5 linked regions of the Cricetulus griseus genome follow. The protein of the gene in region 3 interacts with the protein of the main gene of each other region in a pairwise test. Links are inferred from orthologs where the notes say so. Each region holds a gene or a part of one and is shown on either strand. Other genes may lie near its edges.

Region 1 (2,318 bases), on a different chromosome or scaffold from region 3:
GGGATTTCTAAAGAGGTAAGGCTTGTGTGCTACTTTAGAGCTTCTGGAACTTCACATTCGAATGAAATTGAGAAGAAATTTGTTTTCATTTGAAACACCATTAAATTCTTTAATTATATTGTATATATTTAAATATATATATATATATATATATATATATATATATATATATATATATTGCTTTTTACCTAACCTATATAAGGGAAGGAAAGCCACAAGATTACTGAACAAATTAATAGATAAAGACAGAAAACATAAATTGACTTTTGACTACATCCGGGCTTTCATTAGCTCTTACATTAGCTAGTGAATGTTATAAATAGGTAAGAAAATGCCATACGAGAGCCTTGTTTTTCCCCCTGCTATCAACTCTCAGGTAGACCTTGTTCTGCTGATCACTAGAACCGTAAGATGGCTTTAACTAAGTCAGGCAAGTTCATTAAAATGGTTACAGTTTAGAAGTCACAAACCAATTTTGAGAAACCAATAAGGAATAATTGACACCACTAGTCTTGCTACATTCAAGATACAAGATTTATTCACACCAACAAAATAATCACAACAAAATATACACTAATTATAAAAACAAAAGATTGTAGTGACATTGTTATAGATTCTCTTTTATCCATGTAAAAGCATTTTGCTTGTGTCTACATACATCTTATTCATAAAGTAATAACAATCATTAAGATGCAGTGGCCATTTGTACTTCTACAGAAAGAACAGAGGCAAAGTACTGAAGCTTTTAGGTTACAAGGGTGTTTTCATGGAGCAACAAACTAAGCTAATAGCCCCAAATATTATCTATTTTCTTCTCCACATACATATACCCACTAAACTAAGAAATGAGCAGTTAATATTCTTGCTTAGCCCTCACTAATCTTCTTCTTCTTTTTTAACTAAAAGCAAAGTAAGGAGCTGTGGTTTTGCCTCTCTTTTAATTGACCTCAGAAGATGAACTCTCTATTTCATGGGAAATACGAATTTTCAGATGGTTAATGTCTTCCTTACTCTTAGAGTCTGGAACTAGCTTGTCTTCATGGCTCTGATGTTCCTGGCTTGCTTTGGAACTTTCCTTGCTATCAATCACATCAGACAGCTCAGTGCTCTCATGACTAGCTTTCTGTTTGTGCTCCTGGGATTGCTCATGGCTGTGGGTTTCCACACTTGGTTCATCCAGCTGACTTGATTCATGGCTGGTCTTCCCAGTGCTGTCCTGATCAGAGGGCATGTTCAGACGATGGACAACCGGAATAACCTTGAGGGTGTCAACCAGCTCCTTGCTCTTCATGTGGGAGCTAAGATCCTCATCTGTAGCATCAGGATCCTGAACCAGAACAAATTGAAGAGTTATACAAACAGCTAGGGATAAGAACATTATAATCCTTTATCTCTACACTTTAGGTCAAACTGTACTAAGTATTTTTAAAACTTGATTGAAGAAGAAAAGGCACTAGCATGTACTTTGTACTTTACCAGTCACCATTGTGTCAGCCATTTCTACTTTAATAGGTATATCCTTTATGTCTGTGATAAAACTTGTAGGGTGGTCTCATAGTCTCTGATTTACATGGAAAGACATTAAAAGTTAAATCAAATAGAAAATAATAAGGCTGAGTCTAATTCAGACCCTTTTACTAAGTTCATTATAATTGTGACTTTTACAGTTCCTCTCACACACTTGGCTTCCAAATACGACCATTATATTTCACAAATAACTTCCTGCAGTAGTTATTGAACTAACATAAATGCCTATTAAATATTGCTTAGATACTGGATTTGGAAGGATAGAATTGTGTGTGATAGAGAAAATTAACAAAGATATTATGTACACTTTAAACAGGACTGCCAACATAGAAAAATAAAAAAGCTCTGTATTCAAAGACCATAAAGCAGACTTCAAATAAATGTGCAGTTCTTGGTGAATAGTGGGTGAATTTGTATACTCTGGTTTCCTAGAAGTGAGCTCAAGCCATAGTCATTCTGTGTGTCTGACAAGGGATTTACCTGGTCATCAGAAATGTGGAACTTCCTAGACTTTGACCGCAGTCCATAAGCCAAACTGTCACCTCGGCCGTTAGGGATCTCTACTGTAGGGACAGCTGGAGTGAAGACTTCTGTTTGTGTAGTAACAGTAATGGACTCATCAGACTCATCAGAATGGTGGGAATCGTCAGGATGGTCATCCTCATCTGATTCATCAGAGTCCACAGAATCCTGGCTGTTTGCATGGTCTCCGTCATCATTGTCATCATCGTCATCATCCATGTGGTCATGGCTTTCATTGGAGTTGCTTGGGAGAGTCTAAATCAAAGATC
Region 2 (3,977 bases), on a different chromosome or scaffold from region 3:
CCTGATCTAATTACATGAGTGATCAGGGCCGGAGTAAGTGTACAGAAAACTAACACCACTGACAGTATCTGTATGATGAGAGAGGCAGACAGGCAGGAGGCTTTTCAGCCTCCTATGGAAGGGAGCATTCAAGCCCATTTATTTGCAAAGCTGCTAAAATATTGACTGATGCATGGCCAGTTAGAGGACAATCAGAGGAGATTAAATGCCACAGCTAAACTGTTATGGTGCAATCCCTTCCCAAGAGTTCGTGCACATGTTTTTCTTTTGGTGGCTACCTCTAGCTTCCACTAGCATAAACTTCATTCAAAAATAAAATAAAAATAAACTCTCGGCTGTCAAACTGTCTTAGCTACCTACCCACCATCAAGAAACCAGAGGGTGGGCTTAACTTAGGGCTTCTAGGAACTGCAGGGCTTTTCAGAAAACCAAATAGAAATAGCTTGCAAACACTACTGAAAAGTAACCAGCTGTGCCTAAAAATAACCAGCATGTAACTACCTTGTTGTGTACGACCTATAGCAATGATGTTTAAATATTAAGGGGAGCTTGCATTATAAAACAGAAATGTCACTGAGATGAGACTAGATTGCCACAGGGAAACATATTGCACACACACAGTCCTCTGCATGCAAGGGTGAGAACTCTACTGTAAGGCACTACTTTTTATTCTGTAGGTGGTGTGGGGTCTTCTAATTTTACTAATTGTATCCTGTGGCTCTCTCTGAGAAGCTAAGAAATCTCTTCGGGGACAGAACCAGTTTGGAGGAGTTCCTACTGCACAACATACGGTAAACAAAATAAAAATAGCTTGCCTTTCTTGTTAGCCACATAGAGCATTATATAACCAGCTTCCGACTGGCTTTTTTTTTTTTTCGCCCTTACTACTCTTCAGCAATTTCCCAACCTTCCCAAGTATTTATATTACCCTCTTATCTGTAGGATTATGCAGAAAGAAAGCAAAACAAAACAGGACAGCCACGGGATCGAACTGAACTCCACCGTCTTAAAACCCTGATTTTTTTTTTTTTTTTCTGGCAGAGTCTAGATCACCATCCTACTTCCACCCCCCACCACTAAGGTCCTTGCTCAATCTCCCTAGAAAACCTGAATTGTTTCACCGCTTCCAGTCAGCTCTACGTGGTCTGAAATAAAATGAAAGCGCACAAGCCCCAGAGTTGAAGGAGGTGGCTAAGGAGAAGTCGAGGCGCTGCAGAGTCAGCCAAAGGACCACCGCGGGACCCCTCCCCATCTCGGAGGCTCTGGTCCCCACTCGGCGCGAGAACACACGCACACATACACACCTACACACTCACAGGCTCTCACTCCCTCCTCTCCGACCCCGCCTCACCTCTCGCTCCGCCCGTCCGGCCCCTTCCCTGCCCCCTGCGGGACCGGCCTGCGCGCTCCGTTGCAACCACGTAGGAGGCGCGGCGGCCGCGGCAGCCACGGCAGAGGCGGCGTCTCGGGCTCGGAGTGAACGAGCCGCGGGGCTCCGGGGCGCATCCCAATCCCCGCAGCGCCTCCTCCTCCGCCGCCTCCTCCTTCCCCTCCTCCCATCTTCATTCACCCTCCCTGCCGCCGCGCAGCCGAGCAGTCCCGGAGCAGGGCAGAGCCCCTCCTCGGCTGCTGCCTCGGGCGCCGGCTGGGACGCCGGGCCGGGCCGGGCTGGGAAGCTCGGGCTCCGGCTCCGGCAGCGGCGGCGGCGGCGGCGGCTGCTTTGGATCAGGAAGCGGCCGCACCAACAGGGCGGCGGTGGCGGCGGCTGCAGCCAGGGCCCGTCCCCGCCGCCACTCCCGCTGCGCTCCGATAGCCTGCGCGCCCCTGCCCCCTGCGCCGCCACCTCTCCTCTCCCCCAGGCCGTGCGCAAAGTCCCCGGTCCCCAGAGGCTGGCCTGGGCGGGGAGACCCCAGTCTTGGGGTCGCCTCGCACAAGCTAGGCGACCCCGGGCGGGGAAGCCCAGCCCTCCCTCGAGTCCCCGCGGCGCTCACCGCCCCCTCCCGGGAGGGAGAATTTGCAAAAGCGAAGAGGGCAGCGCGACCCTCAGCCGCTGCCGCCTCCCCCTGCGCCACCAGGAGGGAGGAGGACCAGGCTCTCGGCTCTCGCCGCCGCCGGGCCAGCAGCAGCCTGAGCGGGGCGCCGCCGCTCTCCCCACCCGCGCCCCTTGCCCGGGCGCGCCCCCTCTCCTGGGGGCGGCCCACCCCTGGCTGCTCCCCGGGCCCGCTGCTCCAGCGCCCAGAGTGGGGTCCCGAGCCGGGAGGCTGGAGCCCGGCAGGGGTATATGTACACACACTCACACACACGCGCGCGCGCACACGCACACACACACACACACACACTCACACACACACACACACGCACACACACCACGACGCGTCGGTTTCCTTCGCTCCTCTTCCAGCTGTTTTCCTTGTAGCCCATTGAGACTGGGGGAGGGGAGATTGTACGCTGGATGTTCTTTGGCCCCTCTCCGGAGAGAGAGGATTGGGGTGAGGGAGGGGGTGATTTTAATCTAAATCGAGGGGGGGGGAGAGGAGGAAGGGGGAGGGGGAGAGAAAGAATCAGAGGAGGAAAAAAAATAGCCACTTACTGTAAAGTGTAAATGGATCTGGGGTTGCGTGGGGAAGGGGGGACAGAGGGAGAGACACAGTGTCCTGCGGCTGCTGTAGCTCTAGCTGCGGCTCCACAGGGCTTGTTTTGGATCCCCCTGCAGTGAAACAGGTCCTGTACGGCTCCGCCACTGTAGTAGAAATGATGTCTGCGGTATACTCTGCTCTCTCCTCCTCCTCCTCCCCCCTCCCCTCCCTCCTCCCTCCGCCCGCCCTCCCTCCCTCGCGCTCTCTCTCGCGCTCGCTCGCTCGCTCCAGTATGTAAATGTGTAATAGAAGCCAAATATGGAGCAGTTGGCTGCCGCCGCCACAGCTCAAGGATCCGACTTCATGGGGGGGGGGGGGCACCCTCTGGCAGGCGGCCCGGCGAGCCGCACAGAGCACGGCGAGCGCACGGCGCGGCTGCCGGCCCGCGCCCTTAACCCTTCTGTGCACCCGGCCGGAGCAGCGGTCCCTCCCTCCAGGGGAGGCCCGGTGCCTCTCCCTAACTGCGGCTCCGGATCCCGGACATCGGCCCGTGGGGACTGTGCCTTCCAGGTTTGAGAAAGGGGAGGGGAAGTTGGGGCGATGAGGTCATTGGAGTGGTGACCCGTCGGAGCTCGCGCGCCTCCCCGTCTCCTTGCAACCTAGTTGGAGGGGACAGGGCGAGTGTAGGGTGCAACGCTCGCAGCCTGGAGGACTCACCGCAGCGGGTGTCAGGCTTCGGTTCCCACCTGGTAAAATAAGCAAGGATGCGGGGAAGTCGGCTGACTCTAATCCCGAAGTGACCTTGGTGCCCCCACCCCGCCACCCCGGTGTGTGTCTAAGAGGACTCACTGTATCCTCGCTGTTAACCCTCCAGCCGGTGAGCCCTGAGCAACCCGACTCTGGGCCCGCGCCTTGGCTTGCAACTCGGGAAAGTTCTCAGGCTTCCTCAGTTTGCACTGGCGCCCTCACCTTTCCTGCCCGGACAAGCTGGCAGCCTCCCGACCCTCCTATCTAATTCTGCAGGTCTAGAAATCTGCAGTAGGAATCAGACGTCTCAGTTCTAGCTCTGGGAGCCGACCTGCTCACTCCTTTCTCAGCTAACAGGGAATCACTCATTTCATCGGAAGTGAGGTAACCGGTGCCCCGACCATTCGATGGCGGTTCTCGGGAATCCACGGCAAAGGAACTTTCCCTGGTCCTGGTGGCTGAACGCAGACATAGAGTCCCCCCACCCACCCCCTCCGCTACAGCACTGCCAGGTGTGAGCTCGGTGGGAAGGAATCTTCCCCGGAGGAGTGTACCTTGCCAACAGGTGTGGCACCCGGAGAAAGAGCGGGCACAACCCTACAAGGGTCGCTCAGTGCCGAGTTCCCTTTGCTGCAGATAATTCTCGAAAACCAG
Region 3 (3,519 bases):
CATGGAGGTGGGAGGTGTGGCCTGGTTTACTCATGAGCTGTTACTTAGGTCACTACCAGGGACACAACCACAACAAAGCTTCCTCTGAGGGGGCAGGGCCATTGCCCCAGGACACTGAGACCTGTAGCTTTAATTCAGTCTCACCTGTTTTCAATATACACTGAAGCAATGTGAACCCCATTCAGTCCTGGGGCAGAGGGGTTGCCCTAGTGTGACCCCACTAAGCTCCTTCCACCCTAAGACATACCTGACCCCAGGCTAGCCGCATTGATCCCAAAAGGGTTCGAGACTGTCGGGTGCACCTGGCTGGTCCCCGATCCTCCGTTGCCCTCCCCACCGGACCCGGGGGCCTGGGAGGTGGGGGGCGAGGGGCTCCAGGGGTTAGGGAGGGGCTCTCGATTCTCAGTCCGAAGAGGTTGGGAGGATGAGTTGTCGGAGTTCCCGGCCAGGGAAGAGAAGGGATTGTTGCCAAACTGAGAGGAGGGAAAGGTTTTGGGTTAAGGACTGAAACAAATCAGGGACAAGGAGAGGCTCCCTCTCTGCTCTTACCTGGGAACCTCCCCACCCCAGGGGATGAAGGGACTGGCTCCACCCTCACCTGACCCTGCAGAGGGCACCTGGCTGATGCTAGTGACTGACAGCCATAGCCCCCAGGAAAGATGCCATTTCCCTGGCTTGTGCTCAATGTGGGTCTCTGCCTTCAGTTCTGTGACCTAACCTTTCACATACATCTTCCTGTGATATAATGAGGTATTTTTGCTCTTGGAGTAGTTAAGGGGCAGAGGCAATGTCAAATTCACCTTTACACCCTCAGCACTAACACCAGTAGGTGCTCAGTAAGGAATGGCTAGGTTTGCGGTTGCAGGCTGTCGGACCTGGCTAATTTACCCCATCTGCCCCCAGCTCCCTCTTTCCCTGCCACCTTGGCGTAATTCTAATGCCCAGAACTCTCTTGCTCACTTCCTTGGTCCGATGAGAGGCATTTGAGTCATCGAAGCAAGCCCCAGGGAGCAGTGCTCTGGCTAAGGGTTCCCTTGAGGTTTCCTTCCTCTGTCCTTTGGGTGGATCCCCCAGTCCCTCTCCCATGCTCCCAAAGACTACTCGGGACTGTTCCTCATCAGATGGCACATTGCCCAAGGGTAACACCAAATCTCTTCCCTCCAGCAACTAGGACAGAGGTCTATGGGGACCTGTGTGCTGAGCAGTTCTGGACCCTTCTTCACTAGCTCAGTTTTACAAAGGCTCACTTAAGAGCTTGAAGCAAGAGGCAGACAGCTGAGCAATCATCTACCTTGAGCTGAGCTGAGGCTCCTTGGCTTCTACATATACCTGTTGTTGAGATAACCAGCTGGCTTCACAAACTATGCATTAGTGCCATTTCAGATTTCCCATTCCTAGCAGGGCGTTGGTGGCGCATGCTTTTAATCCCAGCACTTGGGAGGCAGAGGCAGGCGGATCTCTGTGAGTTCGAGGCCAGCCTGGTCTACAAGAGCTAGTTCCAGGATAGGCTCCAAAGCTACACAGGGAAACCCTGTCTAAAAAAAAAAGGAACAGATTTCCCATTCCTGTAATCTCCACCACTTCTAGTCCTTAACTTGTTCTGTTCTTCCTGGTGCACCTACCAACTAAATCTCTTTCCCTGAACTACCATTGTGACTACCCACCATTTACTGAGCACCTACTTTATGCCTTGGCACATTTATTCTAATATAATATCCCTATACACCAGCTCTCAAAAATGTGGCCCTATAACCCTTGAAAGACTAGAAAGTCTTCATAACTCAATGCCAATTTACTGTTTTTACTTACTCTATTATGAAAGCTGTGTAGCAGGGGATGTTCAATGCAGACCTGATAAGCCCACTGTCCTACAGGATCATACATTAAAAGATATCTTCTGGAAAGCCACATTTTCTTCTAAGTTTGTTCTCTCTCTCTCACCACGCCCAGACTTCAGTTTTTAATTTCTGGCCGTGAATACTGAAAGGTCCCACTCACGAAAACAAAGTTCTTTAGGGACCCTCTGTAACTTCTGTATGTTTGTTTTTTATAGTCTCTAGTAGCCCAGGCTAGCCTTGGACTTTGATCCTCCTGCTTCTATCTCTAGAGTAATGGGATTACAGTATGAATGCATCTTTTTGGGGGGAGGGTGGGCATCGTGTCACCTGTAGGCCTAGCTGGCCTAGAACTCGTACACCAGACTGGCTCAAACCCAGTGATCCTCCTACCTCTGCCTTTTGAGAGTTGGGGTTACAGGTGTATGCTCCACGCTCAGCTTATTCTCTCATTTTTTCAGGGAATAATTGTGTCCTGAGGCAAAATGTGTGAGCGACTGCTATAAAGGATGACCTGACTGTGAAAGCAAGGGAGTAAAACTCAGGGAGGGACCACTTAAAATCACATTGCTAGAGTCAGGTGGTGGCGCACGCCTTTAATCCCAGCACTCTGGAGGCAGAGGCAGGTGGATCTCTGTGAGTTCGAGGCCAGCCTGGTCTACAGAGTGAGTGCCAGGATAGGCTCCAAAACTATACAGAGAAACCCTGTCTCGTTAAAACAAAACAAAAAATCACATTGCTAGAAAATGACAAAGCAGGCATATGAACCCGGGTTTGTGGATGCCAAATGCTTTATTCTTTTAGTAAAAGCAGTGGTTTTTTTCTTTTTCTTTTTTCTTTTTTATGCTTTAATGTGCGTGCTAGGAATTAGGTGGAGTGTTTGTTGTCTTTCTCAACTATCCAATTTAGTTTTGTTTTGGAGACAGGGTATCATGTTTCTCAAGTTGGCTTTGAACTTAATGTGTAGCTGAGGGTGACCATGACCTCTGGGTCCCCAGTACTGGGATTACAGAACCAGACGACTATGTGTTGCTGGGGCTCAAACCCAGGGCCTTGTGCATGTTAAACAAGCAGTCTTCCAACTGAGCTACGCTGTTTATTTATTTACTTGAGACAGAATTTCATGTAGTTAGGCTGGCCTTGAACCCCAGATCTTCCTAGATGCTGGGACTATAGATATGGGATGCCATACCTCATATTCATAAAGCTGTTTTATTTTGTTTTGCTTTTTCTTTTTGGTGGAGGTGGAAATGACCCTAGGCCTCACATACTCTAGGCAAGCACTTTACCAGTGAACAACATTCTACACTCATAAAACATTTTTAAAAGTGCACAATCCTAGAGATGCATGGGGCTGGAGAGACGCATCAGCAGGTAGGAGCACTGGCTGCTCTTCCAGAGGTCCCCAGCTTGTTTCTTAGCACCCACGTGGTGGCTCAGAACCACCTGTAACTTTAGTTTCAGAGGACCTGATCCCTTCTTCTGGCCTCCACAGGCCCTCCACTCACGGTGCACAAGTACATACGTAGGCAAAACATCCATCCATATAAAATAAAAACATTTTTTTCACTCTTTTTTTTTTTTTTGGAAGTGCAGAATCCCACTGCCCATGGTGATCCATCCCAACACTTGGGAAGCTGGCTTGGGAGAATTTCAAGTTCTGGGATGCTATGAGCTATATAGT
Region 4 (4,259 bases), about 130 Mb from region 3:
ATAAATGAGATTTTAAACTATGTAAACTTTTGTGATTGGCTACTCTCGTGCCCACAGAAATTAGGAGATGGTGTATGATCCTCTTGAACTGGAATGATGGGTGTGAGGAACCTAACCCAGGTCCACTGCACGAAAAGCAGGTGTTCCTAACAACTGAGCCATCTCTATGGCTCTGAGACTGGCTACTTCCTTACTTACCATAAATTTGTGACTATCAACTCACGTTGTGTAAATCAATATTGTATGTTTTTGTACAACTGAGTAACCATCCACGATATAGATATCCCAAACTTTATTTATCCATCGCCAACTAAAAGATGCCTGTATTGCTTTATTTTGGCTAATTTATATACATACAAATGCAAATTCTATTTATTCATATAAGGTGTTCTGTGAAAACATTTTATTTTCTCTGGAAGAAAAACGCCCAAGAAACTGCTGAGTTACATGGTAAGGTCAACTCATGTTTAATTTCATACAAACATAAAACAAGCAACCTCTCCAAAAAGTAGTATCTTTTTTAGTATTGCTGTGCCATTTTCTATTTCTACTGACAGTAACTACATAACCTAGTGTCTCTGCATCTTCACTGCCAGGGGTATCATAATGTTTTTATTCCAGGCATTCTGATGGGTACATAGCAACATGTCACCAGGGTTTCAATCTCTCTTCCCTTAATGGGACAGAGAAATTGAGTATCTTTCCAGGTGTCTATTTATTATTATCTATTCTCCTCATAAATTATGTCTGTTGGTATTTATTCACTATCTTCCTGGATTGTTAGGGTTGTATGTTTGCTTGTTTGTTTTGATTCTATATTGATTCTTGAGATTTTTATACATGTTCATGACAGGAGTCCTTTAAGAAACTTTTGTTTTTTTGGTTTTTCGAGACAAGGTTTCTCTGTGTAGCTTTGGAGCCTATCCTGGCACTCACTCTGGAGACCAGGCTGGCCTCAAACTCACAGCGATCAGTCTGCCTCTACCTCCCATGTGCTGGGATCAAAGGCTTGTGCCACCAATGCCCTGCCTCACAAACTTTTTTTAAGTGAGTCTTAACCATACCCCATACTATTTAAAGTCTAATTTATATGACTCTGTTGTCATTTTGGCTATCAAATGACATTTTCTCAGTTTTCCTGGCTGGTAGAGTAGGTTGTATTAAAATATGGTTGAAAATATAATGGTAGATGACAAGGATGTTACTAATTACCCTAAAATGTACAAGACAAAAACAACAAAAATCCAGCCCCTGATATCACTAGTGCTGAATCTAAGAGGAAAGCTGGCTGGTCACCGTGTGTCTAAGAAAATATATTTATTTAATTTAATATAAACATGAGTTGGCTTTGAAAATGAATTTGATAGAATTGTTCCAAAAGTATTTCAGAATAGTAGATTAAAGCAATAAGAACACAGGGTGAGACTGACCTCCAAACTGCTTCTTCCAGTTGCAAGGGATCTTACATCTCTGGGTCTTCATGGTTTGCTTGCACTCAGCACCAGTGCGAGTGCCCTCCCGGGTGCCCAGTCCACAGTCCCCGCTGGTGGGCACACACACACTCCACTGCCATTCTCCACAGTCAGATTTTTTCACCTTTTTTTCTGCAAGGGAGGAAACAAAAAGCAACCACCGTCCAGAAATGTACTGAACTCTTGAATATGGCTAAGTTCACACCTCAGAACCTCGATTGTGGAGTCTATGACTTTTATCTCTATCTGTATTGTCCAGGAAGACAGTGGGATGTCTTCTCAATGATCCAGTCAATGCATGGTTAAGAGGAGAAAGAAAGAAAACATGGGGGCAGAGACGGAACTAATACTACTAAGTCATGTGTGTGATAGAGACTGTTCTACGTGAATCACTAATATTTCCTTTTAGAAAGATGTTTCTGAATGAAGGCGTTGTCCCTCTGCCTGCTCCCTGACCACCACAATATGAGCTATTCTGCCACGCGTGCCTGCAGTGACGGGCCCACACCTCTGAAACCCTAAGTGAAATAAAGCCATCTTCCTCTTAAATTCACTCCTCAAGTGTCTGAATGCAGCAACAAACAGCTAACACACTTGTGCCAGATGAAATTTGAAGATTTGTGTATCTTTGATGAAACATTTGAGAGTGTAAAATTTTACAAAAAGAAGGAAATATTTTTCATTTTTATTTTGTTTTGTTTTGTTGTTGTTGTTTGAGATGGGGTTTCTCTGTATTGCTTTGGAGACTCTTCTGGAACTCACTCTGTAAATCAAGCTGGACTCACAGAGATTCACCCGCCTCTGCCTCCTGAGTGCTGGGATTAAAGGCGTGTGCCACCAATGCCTGGCTAAGAAGGAAATATTTCTGTCAAAATAAAAAATTCTAAGTAGTTTATAAAAAGCTTGAAAAATGAGGAGGGAATGTCTATTAGAAGTAGTAGTGGTCAGACTAAAAATTTCATTGAAAATTGATGGTGTGGTTCTGTTCTGTGGGTAAAAAGGCATAATAGAAATGTGTATAGGACACAGACTAAAAGAGACCCCCAACACCACAGCCCACTCATGACTATCCAAGGGCATGTTCATTCGGGAGCAAAATGGGGCAATTTAGGGTTTCCCTAAATAATTGAAAGGATGTTAGAAACTGTGGGAGAACTATAAGCAGGTAGCTGGGCTGCCTGGGTACCATCCAAGGAAACATCTCTCTGTGACTCCACTGCTTACCGGGTTTCTCTTTCTTCCCAGCCTCAGCAGTGTCCACAGCTGCCAAGATGAAAATGAATGCCAAGAAAGCAGCTGCAAATTTTCGACGTTGCTGCTGGTACTGTTGGGATGACATTTCTGGAAATGAAGAGAACAAGAAGAAGGTGATTTCAACCTAAGTCAGGATGAAGATTCAACTCTCTGATGAAGCATGCTATGTGAAGCTTCTGGAACACTGGGTTTTAGGAAAACTGTATTGATTATTACAAAGTGTAATTTTATCCTTTCTCACCAACAGCTGCAAAAGCAGTAAATCACGTGGTCATGGGCAGAATTTAATCATTCTTCGTATCAGATTTCACAGCCATTTGTTATGTGTGACTCTGGGGTTGTGAAAGCAAGAGAACCACGTGGCATGATTTTGAGCAGATTCCTACAATCAATCCTGTTGCTTGCATCACTTGCTAATAACAACTACAGTCATCTTCAGGATGCCTGGAAGTTCCTAGAAACATTCATGGTGTTGCAGTCACAGTAATCTTCGGTACAGCCGTGACAAATGATAGTGTACAGTAGCTTGTGTGTACTGACTGTGTTTTTTATATTTAGGCATATCTACCAATGAGCAGCATTTCTGATTCTTATTTACCCATGTTCATTTTAAACATAGTATCATCCCATTGCTCATTAGAGTGAAACACAGAAATATAGAGCTGGCATGCTATAACACTAAGAATTCATAAATGGATTTTACTCAAGAACCACTAAATCCTCAGATCTGGAGAGCAGTGACTATACATGCTCAGAAATTGAAATACTGCTCATCTCACATAAGTCAAAATCCCTAGAAAACCCTAGGAAGATCCCTGTTATACTCAAAGATGCTGTGATAACCCTCCATCAAGATATTCACCTTGCCTAAGCTGCTCTGAAAAAGCCACTGATTGCAGAAACGTGGTTGATGGTCATTTACCTCCATCTGCTGTGTTAATGGTGTTGTATAGATCACACAAAAGTGTGCAAATAATCTTTGGTTATTATTAGTGTGAGCTGTATTCCTTTTTTCCAAAACTTGCAATAGATTAGCTTTTAATGATTTTACAATTTCTTTAGTAAATAATGAGACTACTCCTGTGTGTGTACTCATGTGTGCCTGGGGGTATAATATGTGTGTGTGAGTATGCACATGTATGTGCATGGGTATGCACATGTGTGTGCTGTGCTCCCTCTATTATGCATCTTGTTTTCCTAATTCATAAGTATCTAAAATATGATACCATGGTTACTAACTAATCTTGTATCAACTTCCACAATGTTAGAATTGTCACTTATTGGAGTTGTGTTTTGTTTTTCTATCAATGACTGGATTCTATAGTATGATTAAACATATTTTACCAACAAACTAAAATTAACATTTTTACCACTTTGCCCTTTAAAACATGAACCCTGCTTAATCAACACCAGTTCCATCCCCGGCAACAGTCCAGTATTAGAAGCTTTGCTCTCCCTAAAGCTGCATTCTTAGGACAGTCTCACTGAATTGCTCCATGCAAATCAGGTAGGTGACTCCTCCTCATCTTGTGA
Region 5 (3,519 bases), on a different chromosome or scaffold from region 3:
CTCTCAACAAAGTCTTCTGTTTTTCTTCTTCCTCTTCCTTTTCTAAAGCCCGGATGTGTTCCTCAAAGCATATTAATGCATCTTCTTTATCCATGTCTGAAGTATTTTTCAGATTAAAAAAATTGAAATATTAACAAAGAAAGCAGTTTAATTAAAGTCTTTACAAACTTCAAATTCAGTGTTTAAAAGTGTTTGTATTTGAATTTAAACATGATCTTGTAATGACACAAGTTTTGAAAGACTTCAAATCCTAGAGAATAAAGGCAAGAGCACATGCACATGACAAAATTAACGGGCTAACAGAGCAATGTTATGCTTAATTCCAAACAGATTATTTTATTGATAAAAAATTTTATTAGTTCTGTGAGTTTTGTGTGCATTTTGCTCATATTCACCACTGACTTCTTCACAGATATACACACCACTTAGCCAGCTAACTTTGTCATCCCTACCTCCCTAAACTTATTTTAAATCCACCAAGAAGAATTTGTTGGATATACGATCTTACTCTTGAGAGTAGTTGATATATCAGGAGCTATGATTGAGAAAACTGTCTCCTTTCCAGCAGCCATCAGTTGCTAAAGCTCTACAGCTAAGAGTAAGATTTTGTGGTCAACTCCATCTCCATGCTGGGATTGGATACCAGTGAGCTATAAATAGTTGATTTATTACATATTTCAAGAATTTTCTGTTAAATGTTAACTGAGATCTCTAGAAAAGTATTTTTCTAAATCAAAATTCAATTAGAAACAACCCATTTGAAAATAAAGTATTTTTTCAGAAATAGTAATCATTTTGTAAAATTTGAGCTAGCAACTGCATAAAATAGCAATTCCTCGAATTTCATACAGAAAGTAAAGAATAACTCAAGGGGTACTACTTATCATTTTTCTTATGTAGTGATTGTTCTTACTCTGTAACTCTTCATCCTCTGCAAATGTTGGATTATCCATCAGATATTGTTGGGCTTCAGACCAAGTAGTAGAGTATGTAACATTAGCCATATTGTCAAGTATGTTTTTTAAGGCTTCCCAGTTTCTCTTTCGTAACTGCTTAGCTTGTTCCTACAACAAACATTTGAATAATGCTTTTAATATTCAAACAAGATATCTAAATTATAATTACTTAAGATTCCTTTATATTCTGATAAATGTCCAAATGTTATTATATACCAAGACCCTTCATTTTGTTACTGTTTTCCAAACCTTCAGTTTTTCATCTCTCTTTGAATTCAAAATCCAAAAAAATTATATTGTTTTGTATCCTCATTTCATAAACCTATGCCTTACCAGTATTCATTACAGATATAACTAATAATGAGGGCTACTGTGTACAGTCAGTATATAAACACAAAGGCATTCCCTGATATTCAAATTTTTAGTAATATTTTCAATACTAGATGCAAAACAATTTACTGACAAACAGGAGAAAAAATGAGTTACTCATTATATCTTTTAACACAGCTTCCAATGAACAGATATGATATATACACACTAACGGAGTTAAGCAAAGAAACTGACATTATAATTTTTACTCATTTATAATAAAGAAAATCTTATTCAGAATGTTGAAATAACAACAATTTAAAAAGTACCTTTTCTTTTTTTGAGAGGAAGAACAAAACATCTTCATAGATTTCAAGACGATCACGCTCTGATATAGCATTCCAAACCTCCATCTCCCCAAACATCTGTTCGGCTTTTCTAGTGATTATGAAATCAAGGGTTACTTGATTAATGCATCAGTACAATTTTAGACTTTTTTTTTTAAAGGCACTCAATTAACACACTCTCCATTTCAAGTTTACAAATGCATTAACTCGGAAAACTTTTATGAAAATCAATAAAATATTAACAGAAGAGCAAAGTCTCTATTTTCTCTTAGGACAATTCACATTAGGTAATGCTTTGCAATGTAAATAGCCCCTTTCCCCCAAGTCACCTTCTGCAGACTATAAAACAGTAACAGTTAATGTATTATGTCTATTCCCTAACACCTCAAGTGAGCCTATAAGTTACTGATTTTTTTGGCTATCTTATAAAACTGCCACATGCTCATTTACCCAGCTGTTTCATGACCATCCATTTTGGATGAGTTAGCAAGAAGTACGACACAAACAACAGGGGGAACATTGCCTCCATCATTAAAAATCTTACTTGTATCTGGTTGTGGAAGTCATTTTCTCATGATTTTCAAGAAAACGCTGAAAGGATTCCTTAGCTTCCTTGTATTTTGATCTTGCTTCTTCTTTTTCCTCTTTCTCGGTCTGGACTTTATAGGCATTAAAGGCCTGCTTTTTCTCACTCAGCTTTGCTAAAGCACTAAATAACAGAAAATATCAGACAAGAATAAATATAAAGGCTGGAGAATAAAATGTTACTGCTTTAGAAAAATGTTTGACGCATACATTAAGAAAATATCTAATTTACTGAAGATATACAATTATTTTAAACAGCAAATTCTAGTGTTCAGTGATTATAATTTCATTTGGAGCAAGGTGCTCAAATTGTAGGACAACCCTTTTGGATTTCTGGCTATAGAACACATAAAATACCTCTATTTAAAATAATTATATACCTATGAACAGCTGTGTATTATAAAGTTAAACTGTTGAACATAACTTTAAATGCCCTAAGATTAATGTAAAGTTAATTCTAAAGTCATTGTATTACCTGTACCGAGGATCATTAATGATCATTTTCATAGCTTGTTCCCATGAAGCATTGGAAGGTACCCGCTGAAAATTATTTAAAGGGAAAATTAAAATTTTATACAACAGAGACAATGGTTATCATAGGAAAGCAAGTTTAACACTCATTGCAAATATCAAGCACCTCCCCCTTTGCAGATTTTTTTTTACAATCTAAAACCATTTTCAATGAAGCAAATTTATGATACACACTTATTGACTAAAAAGAAAATTCACACTGAAATTGAAACAGTATTTTTTCCGCATTAGATCACCAACTAAAAGACAAGCAATAATTTAAATAAAAAATCTTATACATCAAGGCAAAAATATGATTGTGAAATAATACCTTGTTGAGTTTCCAAAAGCATTCTTCAATAAAAACACAACAAATTTACTTTGTTTTCAGTTAAAACAGTTCAAGTAATTAGTATTTTAAATAAAGGCACCAAAGCGAACATTTATTAGGAAATTATTATGTGTTACTTAAAAAGATTATAATACCTTTTCTTTCAATAATTCTTTAAATGCTTGCTTTGCCTCCTCCTTTGTATTCCAAGTATATGTTTTTTTTGCTGGTTGGCTCTCTTCCTCTTCTTTTTTAGGAGTAAAACTAGAGAGAGAGAAATTTAAACATGCTATTCATAATTTCAGGAACTAATTTCTGCTTAGGAAATCATTTAACTGATGCTGACCTAAAACTTGACAATTTTGAGAGAAATTTTCTTATATGAACCCTGAAAATAAAACTATCTGAAGACAGGAAATAAATTTACAGATATAAGGCCCTGTAAAAAGGCCAAATATAAGGGGGAAATCACACTAAGTTG

The links.
Region 1: the proteins of Ubqln4 (region 3) and Spp1 interact in a two-hybrid assay, tested with the Homo sapiens proteins (2 studies listed by BioGRID and IntAct). The link is inferred for Cricetulus griseus from reciprocal best matches to the Homo sapiens genes UBQLN4 and SPP1.
Region 2: the proteins of Ubqln4 (region 3) and Atxn1 interact in binary tests that used the Homo sapiens proteins (3 or more experiments, as listed by UniProt). The link is inferred for Cricetulus griseus from reciprocal best matches to the Homo sapiens genes UBQLN4 and ATXN1.
Region 4: the proteins of Ubqln4 (region 3) and Ptn interact in a two-hybrid assay, tested with the Homo sapiens proteins (2 studies listed by BioGRID and IntAct). The link is inferred for Cricetulus griseus from reciprocal best matches to the Homo sapiens genes UBQLN4 and PTN.
Region 5: the proteins of Ubqln4 (region 3) and Prpf40a interact in a two-hybrid assay, tested with the Homo sapiens proteins (2 studies listed by BioGRID and IntAct). The link is inferred for Cricetulus griseus from reciprocal best matches to the Homo sapiens genes UBQLN4 and PRPF40A.

Annotation. Positions count from the first base shown.
Region 1 is NW_023276807.1:166,257,100-166,259,417, reverse strand, and holds the end of Spp1 (osteopontin), read right to left. Parts: intron 2,305-2,318; coding exon 2,008-2,304; intron 1,328-2,007; coding exon 938-1,327; 3' UTR 517-937; downstream 1-516. UniProt on the Homo sapiens protein: Major non-collagenous bone protein that binds tightly to hydroxyapatite. Appears to form an integral part of the mineralized matrix. Probably important to cell-matrix interaction.
Region 2 is NC_048596.1:265,665,676-265,669,652, forward strand, and holds the start of Atxn1 (ataxin-1), read right to left. Parts: upstream 2,813-3,977; 5' UTR 2,591-2,812; intron 1,511-2,590; exon of another isoform or gene 1,352-1,510; intron 1-1,351. UniProt on the Homo sapiens protein: Chromatin-binding factor that repress Notch signaling in the absence of Notch intracellular domain by acting as a CBF1 corepressor. Binds to the HEY promoter and might assist, along with NCOR2, RBPJ-mediated repression. Binds RNA in vitro.
Region 3 is NW_023276806.1:65,945,889-65,949,407, forward strand, and holds part of Ubqln4 (ubiquilin-4), read right to left. Parts: intron 474-3,519; coding exon 248-473; intron 1-247. UniProt on the Homo sapiens protein: Regulator of protein degradation that mediates the proteasomal targeting of misfolded, mislocalized or accumulated proteins.
Region 4 is NW_023276806.1:191,420,672-191,424,930, reverse strand, and holds the start of Ptn (pleiotrophin), read right to left. Parts: upstream 2,812-4,259; coding exon 2,697-2,811; intron 1,605-2,696; coding exon 1,431-1,604; intron 1-1,430.
Region 5 is NC_048599.1:121,221,616-121,225,134, reverse strand, and holds part of Prpf40a (pre-mRNA-processing factor 40 homolog A), read right to left. Parts: intron 3,303-3,519; coding exon 3,194-3,302; intron 2,738-3,193; coding exon 2,673-2,737; intron 2,322-2,672; coding exon 2,157-2,321; intron 1,704-2,156; coding exon 1,595-1,703; intron 1,065-1,594; coding exon 914-1,064; intron 97-913; coding exon 1-96.